Linked DNA regions of Macaca fascicularis. The protein of the gene in region 1 purifies or fractionates together with the protein of each later gene. This does not show direct contact. Links are inferred from orthologs where the notes say so. Each region holds a gene or a part of one and is shown in the gene's direction. Other genes may lie near its edges. The genes, in order: AATF, NGDN, NAT10 and NOL10.

Region 1 (3,566 bases):
ATATTTCAGAGAGTATTTAGTTTCTGTGTGTATCCTGCACCTCCCCTTCACTCTCCGCAGCCAGAATTGCTCAGGAGTCATGAATTATAGGCATCACCTACTTAGGAAAATTGTAGATAATTAATTGTCCTTTCTCTGTCTTTTATTTCCTAGGTCACAAGGCACTTAAAGCATTGTTGAGGTCATTGGTAGATCTTCAGGAAGAGTTGCTTTTCCAGTACCCAGACACTAGATATCTAGTAGATGGGACAAAGCCCAATGCGGGAAGGTAAGAGAACAGAACCATGGAGTTGCTTATTTTCTTTTCATTTGGATAGTTTCCCATCATTTATGAAGGAGAAAGCCAAGTTCTCTTCAGGCAGATATTAATGTTAGTAAAATAGAGTCTCATATTTCACTGGTGGTCAGGATGGCATGTAAGTTGGTGATTAGATTTTAGATTTTTATATTTAGTTGTACCTGATGTGCTTTGTGGTCTTAGACAAAAGACTTGCCTTCTCTTTAGATCTATTGGAATTAGAAGATAAAAGCACTTTCTTTTTTAGAGATGGGATCTTACGCTGTCATCCAGGCTGGAGTGCAGGGACATGATCACAGCTCACTGCAGCCTCAAACTCCTGGGCTCAAGCAGTCCTCCTGCTTCAGCCTCCCAAATAGCTGAGACTGCAGGCGCTTGCCACCATGCCTGGCTTTTTTTTTTTTTTTTTTTGTAGAGACAGGGTCTTGCTGTGTTTCCTTATCTGGTCTCAAACTCCTGGGCTCAAGCCATCCTTCTACCTCAGCTTCCTAAAGTGCTGGGATTATAAGCATGAGCCACTTCACTTGGCCAAAAGCACATTTTTAAAATATTAATGCTTAATTAATGTTGGTTTATGAAACATTCTGTGCCCATACCATATATTCCAGTCACTGGTCACAGCCATCTCCTTTGAATAAAAACTGTTATTGTGAAAGATGGAAAAATTTCAGAAAACAGCAAAATAATTATTTTTTCCCCCTGAAATTATTACATTTGATGAAGATTTTCCCCTTTTTATTTACACCTGCTGTATATACCTGCTTGCTTTTTTTTCCCTCGAGCTTGTCTTTTGTTTCATTTTTTATCTACTGAACTAGTTGGGAGGACAAAAAAGAAGCTCACATTTGTTGAGCACCTATGGGGGTCAGTAATCCAGTGAGTGCAATTGGCAGATAGTTGGAGGTTGTATTACATTGCCATGGCAGTTGCATAGATGGTACTGCAAGTTAGCGCTAATTCTGTTGCCTACCGCTTTGAGTTGTCTTCACGTTCAGCTTCTCTTGTATTTGATTCAACTAATATTATTCATCTTTCCTTAACAGTTGGTTACAGAGAGATACATTTCCCTTATTGATTTGGGGATTAAAGTTGTAGAAATATGATTGTATGTTTAATTTTTAAAGACTGTCCTATAATACTACAGGCCTGGTTCATACACATTTCTAGTAATTCTTTTAAAACCTCATTTATTTTGACGGTTTGCTTACCTTTTAAAAAATATTTTGAAACTAGTTCTTTTTATATTCATTTTAAAAGTTACATGAGGCTGGGCATGGTGGCTCATGCCTGTATTCCCAGCACTTTGGGAGGCCGAGACTGGTGGATCACTGGAGGCCAGGAGTTTGAAACCAGCTTGGCCAACATAGTGAAACCCCATCTTTACTAAAAATACAAAAAAAAATTAGTCGGGCATGGTTGCACACACCTGTAATCCCAGCTACCCATGAGGCTGAGGCATGAGAATTGCTTGAACCCAGAAGTGGAGGTTGTAGTGAGCCAAGGTCGTGCCACTGCACTCCAGCCTGGGTAACAGAGCAAGACTGTCTCAAAAAAAAAAAGCTACACAGGTTTTTGATTGATCTCATGAATATTTCTCAAAGAACAAAAGCCATCCTCATATCCTTGGTGTTATTTCAAATGGAGACAGAACAGGTAAGGCCTAAATATTCTCTGTCCTTCATGGATGCAGCTGGAAACCATCATTCTTAGCAAACTATCACAAGAACAGAAAACCAAACACCGCATGTTCTCACTCATAGGTGGGAACTGAACAATGAGATCACTTGGACTCAGGGAGGGGAACATCACACACAGGGGCCTATCATGGGGAGGGGGGAGCGGGGAGGGATTGCATTGGGAGTTATACCTGATGTAAATGACGAGTTGATGGGTGCGGCACACCAATATGGCACAAGTATACATACGTAACAAACCTGCACATTAGGCACATGTACCCTACAACTTAAAGTATAATAATAATAAATAAATTAAAAAAAAAATTCTCTGTCCTTTATGTGAGCCTACTTTTTAAAATTTAAGTAATGTTTGTTTACACTGGACGTAGTATTCTTACTGGTTTTCTAGTGAGGAGATTTCTAGTGAAGACGATGAGCTAGTAGAAGAGAAGACGCAGCAACGAAGAAGGGTCCCTGCAAAGAGGAAGCTGGAGATGGAGGACTATCCCAGCTTCATGGCAAAGCGCTTTGCTGACTTTACAGTCTACAGGAACCGCACACTTCAGAAATGGCACGATAAAACCAAACTGGCTTCTGGAAAACTGGGGAAGGCAAGTGTGTGTATGCATGCGTGTATGTGTAAGATAGGTTGTGGAAACCTGAAGTTTTAAGAAATTGGAACTACAGCTCATTTATATGGATGTTGTCATGATGTAATGGTAATCATTCATTTCTGTAGCAAAATCTACTGAACTTCTGGCACTGGGGTTTATACGATTCAGACTTGGGATTTTAACTTTATTAGAAAGAATGTTTTATTCTTAAAATTCAGGCCTCGTAAGTGTTCAAGTGCTGAAAATACAAATACTTTAAAGGAGTGGATTTCAAAGCAATAATTATTAAAGTATCAGAAGTTAATCTCCGAGTGTAGAAAAATGATATGACCTGCTTAAGACTTTTTTTTTTAAAGAACAATTATAGCCACTCACAAACTCAGTCCTTTACAGAAAGTCTCTCCTGAAAAAATGATTGTCTGTCTCTCTGCTGACACAGAAAGATAGAGAAACCAATGTAGCTGCCTTCAGCACTGATTTTCTGCATTATCTGACGCTACTTAATGTTGTTGCAGGGTTTTGGTGCCTTTGAACGCTCAATTTTGACTCAAATCGATCATATTCTGATGGACAAGGAGAGATTACTTCGAAGGACACAGACCAAGCGCTCTGTCTATCGAGTTCTTGGCAAACCTGAGGCAGCAGCTCAGCCTGTCCCAGAGAGTTTGCCAGGGGAACCGGTAAGAACTCTGTGATGCAGAATGATTATGGGGAATAGCTTTTATGAGGCTAATTAGCTGAAAAACTTGTAGCTATTACCTGTTTGTATAAGAGGTTAGTGAGAGAAAGGAAAGCAACACTACTTTACTGGATTACTGAGAGAACCTTGAGTATATGTGAGAGGAGAGAGTTTTTAAGAATGGGGCTTCTATTAGCTCCTGTGTGTCATCTTCTCTTAATTTCGAGTTTGATGCAGGAGTCTGGTAGTGGAAGCATTCATAGTCCAATTTTCAAAATTCAGTTTTAAAGCCACTTCTG
Region 2 (4,144 bases), on another chromosome or scaffold:
AACAGAAACTTTTCATAATACAAATCTTGATAAAACATTACAAAAGCTACTGGATAATTGACTAAGTATGCTGCAACAGCATCCTGAGCTTCCACACTAGGCCTGAAGCAGCAAATAAATGTCAGAGGAGTGGGGACTGAACGCCCTCCTGCTTTCTTGATTCCAGCAAGACCTAGATACCAGGATTTCCTCACCCCAGCTGCCCAGATACGGGTGTTATTCTTAATTCCAAAAGCAGCTTCAAGTCAGGAAGATCTGATTTCTAGACCCAGCTCTGCTAGACGGTTGTGAACAAAAATTATACACTATCATTCACCCTTTCAGTGCTTTATTTCCTAAGGCATGTGATGGGAACAATGAATATCCGTCCAATCTACTTCACCAGCCTGTGAAAAACCAGAGTGAGTGAACACATCTGAAAGCATTGGGTAATGATGAGGCAGGTCATATTGAAACATGCACTGCTCGAGTCTGAACCAAGTTCTGCTGCTGAAGACCTGGGTGACCGGGGTAAGTCATGTAAATATGAACGGTTCCCCAACTTGTAAAACATTCTTTTCATGTCCCCAACTGGTAGGAGCGAAGAGTGTCGGGGCCGTTTCTCAGCGCCCCACGGTGCACATCAAGAGAGTAGGTGTCCTCGCAGTCAGTTTCTACTCTGGCTCTGGGCTTCTCTGGCCCCGCTCTCTTATTTACAGATGAAGAAAGCTCAGAGACCGAGTGACTTGTCCACGGTCACACAAGGAGTATTGTTACAGAATCGATTCCAGGGCCACCGGGTCTGTGAGGAATTTGGCGCGGTGGCCGTTGGATGAGCAGCCAGCAATGGCGGCTCCGCAACGTCGACACCGCAAAGCGAAGCCGAGGCCCGTCACCTAGCGGCCTGTTCAGGCACTACAAGAAAAGTGCCGTGAAAAAAGACTCTGGGTTCTGCGGCGGACGGGAGCCAATAAGCGCTAAGTTCGCGCTGCTAATTCCTTTTTTCTATTGGTCCTTCCAACTGTCAATCAACTATTTGCCTATCTCTTATTGGCTTGCCGTCAATCATTTTACTCAGTCTACCAATCACACGCTCTTTGCCAAGTGCTTTTTTTTTTTTTTGGTCCTGACATCGCTGAGTCTGACGAATTTAGCCAGTTCCTTTATTCCATTGGCCAGATCAGACTCCTCCTCTCGTTTATCCCGTTGAGGGCGGAAGTGAGAAAGGCCTTATTCGTATTGGCTTAGGTTTGCAAGCGGCAGTTGTCTATCAAATCTAGCAAGACGCCCTTAGCGCTCAGGAAGTACGGAACCGGAAGGGGTGGGCTTTGCGAAGATGGCGGCGCCGGTGAGTTTGATGTGGTTTCTTCCTCTCGTAGCTATTGTGGAGTTTTCCTTTCCCTTCAGCGGCTGGAGGCAAACTGTTGGTACCAGGGAAGGGTGGTGATGAAAGTTGCTTCAGGGAGGCGGCCTCCCTAGAGTTACTGTTCCTGTCCAGTAACTCAAGGGGCTGGCTTTAGGGCGAGTCTGTGAAGAGGAGTGTGAAGGCCCCGAGTCTGGGGTGTCAGACGGAGAGAGGGCAGTTTCCCAACCTAGACGTTCCGCCTTCTTATAATCCTGAGGAAAGAATGACTTTTCTTTACTCCTCCTCTCCCTTCTGTAGGGGGTGCTGGAGTCAGACCTGCCAAGTGCCGTGACACTTCTGAAAAATCTCCAGGAGCAAGTGAGTAGTGTCGCCTCTGGAATAAATTAGTCATGGATTGGCCTTGACTTTATGTACTTCACCTCAAAACTTTGGTGATTGAGATACATGAATGCTCCCAAAAACCGTAAGAGTAAAGTGATGTAATGAAAACCTTTCCAGGCCAGAGTTCTAAGTAATTGATTCTGCACCCAAGGGAATACAAGAAACGCCAAAAAGGAAATTATCTGAATAGTTTTCCCTTATTCATACAGCTAAGGAAACCAGTGCTTGGAATGGTAACATGATTTGCCCGTTGGGTGCCCAGGTAATACACACTTAAATACAGAGGCTTCTTGACTTAACGATGGAGGTTATGGCCTGATAAACCCATTGTAATACGAAAATCTCATAAGTCAAAATTTTGGCTTGATGCCGCTGCCCAGCATCACGAGAGAACAGGACGGTTTCTACCGAATGCATATTGCTTTTGCACCCTTGTAAAGTGGAAATTAAGACATAAGTCGGGGAGTTTTGTAGTTTTATGTATTGTAAGTTCAGCCAGTACAAACAAAATTACAGTCCTCCAGTCACTACTGTCCCAGTCCTTTTCTCCTCCCTATGGTTCAGTAAAAGATGGTCTCTTCTTTAAGAAATGGAAAGTTTTTGTTTTTTTTACTTTTTGAAGGACCATCTCTCCTATACTTTCCCAGAAGTGAGAAGATAGTACTATACTTTAGACAGTGTTTCAGATGATTTTTAGGTGGCATTGTTTAGCTTTTGCTCTTCACAGTTTGCAGACATGATTTGATATAGTCTAGTCCGTTGTTTCATTTGGGCTAATTTCAGGTGATGGCTATAACGGCACAAGTGCAATCACTGACACAAAAAGTTCAAGCTGGTGCCTATCCTACAGAAAAGGTAAGATGTACACAAACAGTAAGCATCCCCTGACTTAACGTTCTCAGTAGTTATTTCATTGTATGTTTATTGTGTCTTATATATCCTAAGTGCTCGAGCTTCAAACATAAATACGATTCAGTTTCTGTGCTGAAGTCTAGTGGGAAGACAAAGCAAAGCAATAGACGTAAGTATTAATAGTAGCAATCACATTACAGAGTTATGAGGAGTCTCCAGCCAAAGAGAGGGATTAATTAACTGCCAGAAGAGCAGAGGGATTCAGGACAGGCTTCCCAGAGGAGGTGATAGGATTTTGAGGAATAAACAGGAGGGACAGAAAGAAGGAACATGTGCAAATGCACAAAGGCCTGAAAGTATGTGATATTATGGGAAAGGAGAAAGCCGTTTTTGTGATAGGATATACTTTCTGTGTTATGTGTGGTGGGGGTAGGAAATAAGACTGGAAAAGTAGTCACTCTGAAGATCATTGTAGGCCAGATGAGGAGTTACTCTCAGATTTCATCTAATCTAAGACACTTATTAATTGGGACATATCACTTATTGTGTATATTAAGAAAAAATGTAACAGGCTGGGCCTGGTGGCTCATGCCTGTAATTCCAGCACTTCAGGAGGCTGAGGCTGGAGGATTGCTTGAGCTCAGGAGCTTGGGACCAACCTGGGTAACACAGTGAGACCCTGTCTCTACAAAAGTTAAAAATTAGCCATACATGCTGGCATGTGCCTGTAGTCCCAGCCACTCGGGATGCTGAGGCCAGAGGATTGCTTGAGCCTGGGAGGTTGAGGCTGCAGTGAGCTGTGGTTGTGCCACTGCATTCAGCCTGGGTGACAGAGCAAGACCCTGTCTCAAAAAAAAAAAAAAAAAAAAAAAAAAATTCCTCATGACATAATACCAAGATGCCAGTGACTGAAACATGCATCCTGATTTCAGAGATGTTAAAATATGAAAACAATGTGCATCTTAAAATTGAAATATGCGCCTGTAATCGCAGCACTTCGGGGGGCCAAAGTGGGAGGATTGCTTGAGCCCATGGGTTTGAGACCAGCCTGAGCAACGTGGTGAGACCTGTCTCTACAAAAAAATAAAAAATTAGCTGGGTGCAGTGGCGTGTGCCCATAGTCCCAGCTACTCGGGAGGCTGAGGTGAATGGATCGCTTGAGCCCAGGAGGTCGAGGCTGCCATCAGCCACAGTTGCACCAGCGCACTCCAGCCTGGGCAACAGAGTGAGACTGTCTTTAAAAAAAAAAAAAAAAAAGGGCCTGGCTAAGAAAAAAAGGTGGCTCACACCTATAATTCCAGCACTTTAGGAGATTGTGGCGGATAGATCATCTGAGGTCAGGAGTTCGAGACCAGCCTGGCCAACATGGCAAAACCCCATCTTCACTAAAAATACAAAAATTAGCCAGGCATGGGGGCATGTGCCTGTCTGTAATCCCAGTTACTTGGGAGGCTGAGGCAGGAGAATCGCTTGAACTCAGGAGTTAGAGGTTGCAGTGAGCCAAGATCACGCCACTGCACTCCAGCCTGGGTGACAGAGCAAGGTTCCATCTGAAAAAAAAACAAA
Region 3 (3,566 bases), on another chromosome or scaffold:
AGGTTGAAGCTGCATTGAGCCGTGATCTTGCCACTGGACTCCAGCCTGGGTGACAGAGCCAGACCCTGTCTCAAGCAATGAAAAAAAAAAAGTTCAAGCTCAGAGGTTTGTCACTTCCCAAGGCTGTCAGGTGATAGAACCTGGACTTCATGCTGGATCATAGGAACCTGTCTGTCCCTTTGTAAATCTGTCGGGCATTTCTTTTTTCTTTTCTTTTTTTTTTCAAAGAGATGGAGTCTTACTCTGTCTCCCAGGCTGGAGTGCAATGGCATGATTTCAGCTCACTGCAACCTCTGCCTCCCAGGTTCAAGCAGTTGTCCTGCCTCAGCCTTCTGAGTAACTGGGACTACAAGCACACACCACTACGTCTGGCTAATTTTTGTATTTTTAGTAGAGATGGGGTTTTGCCATGTTGGCTAGGCCAGTCTCGAACTCCTGACCTCAGGTGAGCCGCCTGCCTCGGTCTCCCAAAGTGCTGGGATTACAGGCATGAGCCACCACTCCCAGCGTCTGTCAGTCATTCCTAAACTCTGTGGCTGTCTTCCTGCATTCTGGAGGTCCAGAGCAGTGTGACTCCATGCATGTTGAGGTATTTTGTGTACGTGGGAATGATTGCTTGACTGTGGTGTTCCCATAGTTTGACAACCACAGCAACAAACCAAGAAACCTCTCCCAGTTTTTGTTGTGCTAAGTCCAGAGTGAGCTGTGGCAGGGTTGCTTGACAATGTCTCTCTCCCTGTGTCGAGTGGACTGTGTTCTCTCCTTGGCATCTTCACAGGCTGTCAGCTTGCTGGAAGAGGTCATCACTCCCCGGAAGGACCTGCCTCCTTTACTCCTCAAATTGAATGAGAGGCCCGCTGAGCGCCTGGATTACCTGGGTGTTTCCTATGGCTTGACCCCCAGGCTCCTCAAGTAAGTGCCTGCCCTCCTTCCTCAGCATCACTCCTTGGCATTGAGAAAGAAGAGTTCTGTGGGCTGTGTGTCTGTTGGTAGCTGGTGCCTGTGCTAGCCTGCTGTTCGTGGCCTGCTCTCCTGGTGCTTGCCCTTGTGTGTCTGTCAGCCGCTCCCCAGAGACCACACACACAGTACCTACTGTCTTTGTATCTTTGCAGGTTCTGGAAACGAGCTGGATTTGTTCCTGTTTATCTGAGACAGACCCCGGTGAGTGAGGCATCCAGCAGAGGAGAGGTTTAGGTTTGCCGTTGTGGTAGGTGACAGGCCTGTCCTTGCAAAGAGCCCTAGTGCATCCCTGCTGTGTCGCTCTGAGCAGGTGGCTGTGCCTCTGAAGAGGTTTATTCTGATGGACACGGAAACAGCCATCCTCAGGGACGAGCCATGTCATCACACATTTCTTCCCCGACTACATGGTGCATGCCTTGTGCTTAGTCATAAAATGGCAGAGGTGCACGTGGACTTGTTCATCAGATTCTGAGGAAGGAGAGTGGACAGGAGGATCAAGGGTAATTCCTAGAGTTTTGGCTTGAGAAACTGGGTGTTGGAGGTGCTGTCGGAGGTGGGACTCACTGCAGAAGGAGCAGATTTGGAGGGAAGAGTGGGAGTTCTTTTTTGACATTAATGTGAGATGCCTATTGGACATCCAAGTGGAAATGTGGACTAGGCATTTATTTGACTACAGTAATATGGAGGTAGGGAAGTTTGGGGCTAGAGATGGAGCTTTGGGAGCCATCAGCATATTCATAATAAAATGCACTGCACGAGGGCACGGAGCTCTTGTCTGTTTTGTTCCTTGCTGTATTCTTTGCACTTAGAGTAGCAATTGCTGTGTAGTATGTGTTCAGTAAATGCTTTTGTTGAGTGAAAGAAAAATATCTGGAGCCAGTGAAAGGACATGAGGGTGACTCCTTGGACCCTAACATTTAGAGGAATGAGGAGGAGGACACAGCACATACAGGACTGAGAAGGAACAGCCCTGATGCGCAGGAGAAAGTCGGGGTATGTCCACGTCGAGGTGAAGAAGTGGGAATGGGAGTCAGCCCTGTAGAGAGGATGAGGAGGATGAGGACAGCTGGCCATTGGATTCATCAGCAGCAGTGAGCTGCATTGAAGCAGCGGCAGTGGAGTGGAGGCTTTGGCCTGGCCAGAGGGAAGAGGAGGTGAAGAACTAGAAGGGGAACAGGCGACTCTTTCAGGAAGCGAAAGGGAGCAGAGAAACAAGGTCGCTGGAGGGAAATGGAAGCTAAAGGGGGATTGTAGAGAATGTTTGTTTGCTGCTGGGTTCGATTCTGCAAGTAGTGGTATAGGTGAGGGGGGCTGACTGCCAGAGTGCAGGCCTTGAGGAAGTGGTGGGTGGGACTCGAGACTCAGGAAGGGAGGTGACCACCTACTTCATCCTTCGGACCCAGGGAAGGCAGAGAGCATGGGAATGGAAGGCATCAGTTGGCTGGCTGATTTGGGGATGGGAGGATGATGACGTTCTCTTCTGAGTGCTTCTGTCTTCCCAGATGAGGGGAGTCCATCGGCTGAGAGGGAAGTGTTGGAGGTTTAGGGCAAAGCCAGTATCCGAGGCTAGTGTCCAGTGTCCGTCCGAGGATTTAAAGTGGGACTGGTGAGGACCGCTGGGTGTTGGGCTGCTTCCGTGCAGGCAGGGAGCCGCAGAGATGGGCTGGTTCTCTGTCGGTGCGTTTGGTGGAGGCTGGGGATGTAAATTCGGCCATCAGCTGCAAGGAGAATGCAGGCTAGTGAGCTGCCGTGTGGTCTGTGGTGTGTCCATGTGGTCTTGTACTGTGCGCTGTTCATTTGTGACTTGATAGTGGTGTTTTTATGGTATGGGCTTTGTTGTTATGTAGTAGAAAATGTAAAAACAGTCGCAATTGGGAGGCCGAGGTGGGCGGATCACGAGGTCAGGAGATCGAGACCATCCTGGCTAACACGGTGAAACCCCGTCTCTACTAAAAATACAAAAAGAAATTAGCCGGGCGTGGTGGCGGGCGCCTGTAGTCCCAGCTACTCTGGAGGCTGAGGCAGGAGAATGGCGTGAACCCGGGAGGCGGAGCTTGCAGTGAGCCGATATCGCGCCACTGCACTCCAGCCTGGGCGACAGAGCAAGACTCTGTCTCAAAAAAAAAAAAAAAAAAAAAAAAAAACAGTCGCAATTTTAGCACCTAAAGAAGCCTGCACTTGCAGACTGGCTGCCAGCACTGAGATATAGGTTTTGTCCCTGGAGTTCCTGCTGTGAGGCACCAAACCCATGTAGACTGGATTGTGTGGAGCTTAAGCCCTAATGACTGAGTTCAGCATCCACCTGAGAGGAACAGGTATTTCCCTCCCGCAGGTCCCGAGCAAGAGGCAGGCCTGGAAGAGTGAGCACCTCTGCTCTGTGTCTGTGACGCTTTTGAGGAGATTGCAGGACAGTGATCTTTACAGCCCTTGCATGTGAACTGAGGTGATATGAGGAAGGTGAAGGCGAGGGCTGTGTTTGAGAAGGGTGCCTCTCCCAGCCCAGGTAGAAGGAGAGGCCTGCGGAAGCACCAAGCCTTTCTTCTCTGAGTGTTTACCCTTCATCAATGATGGGTTGTTCAAAAAACGGGGTTCTTGGTGCCAGTTGA
Region 4 (3,566 bases), on another chromosome or scaffold:
TGTTAAAACACTTAAACAGTACTAAAAAGGTTATAAGGTAAACAGTTAAACTTTTACTTTCTATGAAATAAACAATGTTAATTAGGTTTATTTTTGTATGTGTTTTAAGGATTTCCTAGTAGCAGATTTTATTTATTTAATTTTTATTCTACAGCCTTTTTTTTTTTTTTTTTGAGACAGTCTCACTCTGTTGCCCAGGCTGGTGTGCAGTGGCGCAATCTCGGCTCTCTGCAACCTCCGCCTCCTGGGTTCAAGCAGTTCTTCTGCCTCAGCCTCCCGAGTTGCTGGGATTACAGGTGTGTGCCACATACCTGGCTAATTTTTTGTATTTTTGGTAGAAACAGGGTTTCGCCATGTTAGTCAGACTGGGTCTCGAACTCATGGCCTCAGGTGATCAGCCCGCCTCAGCCTCCCAAAGTGCTGGGATTGCAAGCGTGAGCCACTGTGTCTGGCCTTCTACAGCTTTTATTTTAAATTGTTTTTCATTTGCGTAGGGTAGAGTGGAGTGCTGGGACCCAAGAACTCGAAATAGAGTTGGTCTGTTAGACTGCGCCTTAAACAGTGTCACAGCAGATTCAGAGTAAGTAGAAATTAATTTGCAATGTCAGTTTTCATCAACTTTTGATTTCAGTAATGTATCTGTATTAAATTCAAATAAATTGCTAAAGGGTATCTGAAATTGTACTTTCCATGATTGTTTTTCATAAAAGTCCTCTCCTGTGAAAGCTCACTAGTGAGTAAGCCAGATAGAATTTCTTTCCAAACACTGTACAGAAGGTCTTGTTTCTTCAGTTGCTGTAGAATTTTATTAAAACAATTACACTGCAGGAATTTATATTCTGATTTTGTAGGATCTAGTGATAGAACTGGGAGTCCACCACAAACTCCACAGAGGTGTGCTTTGAATTCTAAGGTGGAAGGAAGCAAGTGTTTTTTTAATATTTTCTTGTTCCTGTTTCCCTAATTCCTACATTTAAAACAACCAGAAGAGTTTTCACTATTATACATCCATTTACAGTTTTATGATATTTCCTAAGAAAAGATACCTAGAACCTGAATTTCTGGAGTAAATAGCATACATGTTTTGAAGGTTTTTGGTACATTGCTAAATTGCCCTACAGAAAACATAAGCTCAAGTTAAATGTCTGCCCATGTGCCCAGAGCATGCATTTGCTCACTCTCCTCAGCCTGGACAGTCCATCACAGCCCTGCCAACAATAAGTCTTAGAAAGAACCTGCAGATATTGATTAAATGAAGCTTAGCAGAAATAATAGCTAACAGATAGTGCTTTCTATTTGCCAGGTACTGGGTCTAAGTTCTTTACATATATTAACTTATTTAATATGACAGCCCTTTGCTATAGGCACTGTTATTATACTTATTTTACAGATGAACAAAAGACTCATCAATGGCATACCTGTTATTCAGCCTTTAAGAATTATGTTGCAGAAGCATATTTGTTACTGGGGAAGGGTGGTCCAAATGTGCCTGTGAGTGGAAAAGCAAACCATACCGTTGCCTATAGAGTGTTGCCACCTTGTTACCAGAAAAACAGTGAACACAAGCATAATCACAGGAAGAAGCCTGGGTGTATACCAGAATGTTAAAACTAGGGTTTTTTTTCTGATTCGATTTTAGGTAATTTTATTTTATTTTTTTTAATGCTTAGTTTTTTTGTTTTTGTTTTACCTACAAACCTTAGAAGCTGTCAGTTCTAGGTGGAACCAACACAATATGAGAAGGTAATAAGATAGGGGAAGCAGGCTGCCATTTCCAGATGACATAAGTTTCTGTGCCTGGGAAACTCAGGAGAATAACTGAAAATCTATAAGAACTAATATAACAGTTAAATAAATTGGTTATAAAATGTGCAAAAATCAGTGACCTTGTTATTTATTAGCACTATCCGTCTAGAAAGGTTATAAATGGGAAAACATTCTTATAGCAACAAAAATTGTAAAACTCGATAACATATATGGGCCAGGTGCGGTGGCTGACACCTGTAATCCCAGCAGTTTGGGAGGCCAAGGCGGGTGGATCACTTGAGGTCAGGAGTTCAATACCAGCCTGGGCAACATGGTGAAAACCCATCTCTACAAAAAAAATACAAAAATCAGCTTTGAGTGGTGTCGCACACCTGTAGTCCCAGCTGCTTGGGAGGCTGAAGCAGGAGAATTGCTTGAACCGGAAGGTGGAGGTTGCAGTGAGTTGAGATCATGCCACTGCACTCCAATCTGGGCAACAGGAGTGAAACCCTGTCTCCAAAAAAATGCATATGAAGAAAATGATAAAAGAATAAGTAGAGAAATCTATCACTGTACTGAAAGAAATGATTGAGTGTACTTTGAAGAGCGAGTGACTAAAGTTGCTGTAGATAAGAGGCTTCAAGGTTCCCGTAGGTGCCCCAGTGCAGTTACAGGCTCAAGCTCTAGGTGGCAGAAGAGATCTGATGATGACAAGAGCCGACAGCCAGGACTCTAGGTCCTGGGCCAAGGGCATGTGGACGATGGGATTGATAGCAATATTGTCCACATCTGACTCATCGCCTAGCACTCTTTCCACTGGAGATCATTGCTTTTGCTGCTGATTGGCTTGATTGGTATTTGAGAAGCATATTCTAGAGTTGTGGCCATAGCATTCACTCTGTCTTTGGTACTTTCAGAGGCTCTGGGGTCCCCATTTGAGGATTAGTCTTTTGTTTTAGCTGAGCTTGGCTAATTTTAAAGTGGAAATGGTGTACCCATATCCAAACAAAATTATTTCTTCTTAAATATAAAAGGGGATGTTTCTGTAAATACCTTATTCTGGCTTAATTAAAATGGAAGAAAGAAGTAGATTACATTTTGTATATAAAGTGTAATTTTATTTTGATTATGAAAGTTTGAATACAATTACCATTTGCTTATTATTTTTGAGATAGGGTCTTGCTCTGTTGTCCCAGTTGGAGCACAGTGGAATAATAACAGCTCACTGCAGCCTCGACCTCCCAGGCTCAAGCAGTCTCTTGCCTCAGCTACCCAAACAGCTGGGACAACAGGTGTGCGTCACCACAACTGGCTTTTTTTTTTTTTTTATTTTATTTTTTTTTTGTAGAGATGGTGTCTCACTGTGTCGCCCAGGCTGGTCTTGAATTCCTGGCCTCAAGAAATCTTCCCACCTCAGCCTCCCAAAATGCTGGGATTACAGGTGTGAGTCATCTTACCAGGCTGCAGTTACCTTTTAAACAGAAGGCTAGAAATGTGATTTTCCTCCATTAGATTTGAAGTGAAGATTAATAATGAACTTGTTACTTGGAAGGAGGTTTGGCCATATATTCATGAAGCATGAATATTTTGCTTTTCAGGATAAACAATTTACCAACAATCTCTGCTTTGAAATTTAATGGTCCCTTGACCATGGCAGTTGGAACATCCACAGGGCAGGTAAATATGTTTAATTTGGAAACTTCACATCTAAGTTTTTATTTCAGTGGTGTGTGTATGTGTCATGAGAAATATACTATAGGAACACAAAACGAGGCCATACTATTTTAGCCAGAGCAGGGGGTATGCCTTAATGCTGGATT

What was found.
Region 2: the proteins of AATF (region 1) and NGDN purify together in Homo sapiens (affinity purification with mass spectrometry; 3 studies listed by BioGRID and IntAct, with this or other methods). This does not show direct contact. The link is inferred for Macaca fascicularis from reciprocal best matches to the Homo sapiens genes AATF and NGDN.
Region 3: the proteins of AATF (region 1) and NAT10 purify together in Homo sapiens (affinity purification with mass spectrometry; 3 studies listed by BioGRID and IntAct, with this or other methods). This does not show direct contact. The link is inferred for Macaca fascicularis from reciprocal best matches to the Homo sapiens genes AATF and NAT10.
Region 4: the proteins of AATF (region 1) and NOL10 purify together in Homo sapiens (affinity purification with mass spectrometry; 4 studies listed by BioGRID and IntAct, counting the BioPlex papers as one, with this or other methods). This does not show direct contact. The link is inferred for Macaca fascicularis from reciprocal best matches to the Homo sapiens genes AATF and NOL10.

What each region holds. Positions count from the first base shown.
Region 1 is NC_088390.1:44,011,893-44,015,458, reverse strand, and holds part of AATF (protein AATF), read left to right. Parts: intron 1-153; coding exon 154-268; intron 269-2,383; coding exon 2,384-2,585; intron 2,586-3,103; coding exon 3,104-3,268; intron 3,269-3,566. UniProt on the Homo sapiens protein: Part of the small subunit (SSU) processome, first precursor of the small eukaryotic ribosomal subunit.
Region 2 is NC_088381.1:91,238,583-91,242,726, forward strand, and holds the start of NGDN (neuroguidin), read left to right. Parts: upstream 1-1,296; 5' UTR 1,297-1,315; coding exon 1,316-1,327; intron 1,328-1,642; coding exon 1,643-1,702; intron 1,703-2,509; coding exon 2,510-2,581; intron 2,582-4,144. UniProt on the Homo sapiens protein: Part of the small subunit (SSU) processome, first precursor of the small eukaryotic ribosomal subunit.
Region 3 is NC_088388.1:31,438,721-31,442,286, reverse strand, and holds part of NAT10 (RNA cytidine acetyltransferase), read left to right. Parts: intron 1-778; coding exon 779-912; intron 913-1,112; coding exon 1,113-1,161; intron 1,162-3,566. UniProt on the Homo sapiens protein: RNA cytidine acetyltransferase that catalyzes the formation of N(4)-acetylcytidine (ac4C) modification on mRNAs, 18S rRNA and tRNAs.
Region 4 is NC_088387.1:111,424,728-111,428,293, forward strand, and holds part of NOL10 (nucleolar protein 10), read left to right. Parts: intron 1-494; coding exon 495-580; intron 581-3,093; exon of another isoform or gene 3,094-3,187; intron 3,188-3,344; coding exon 3,345-3,423; intron 3,424-3,566.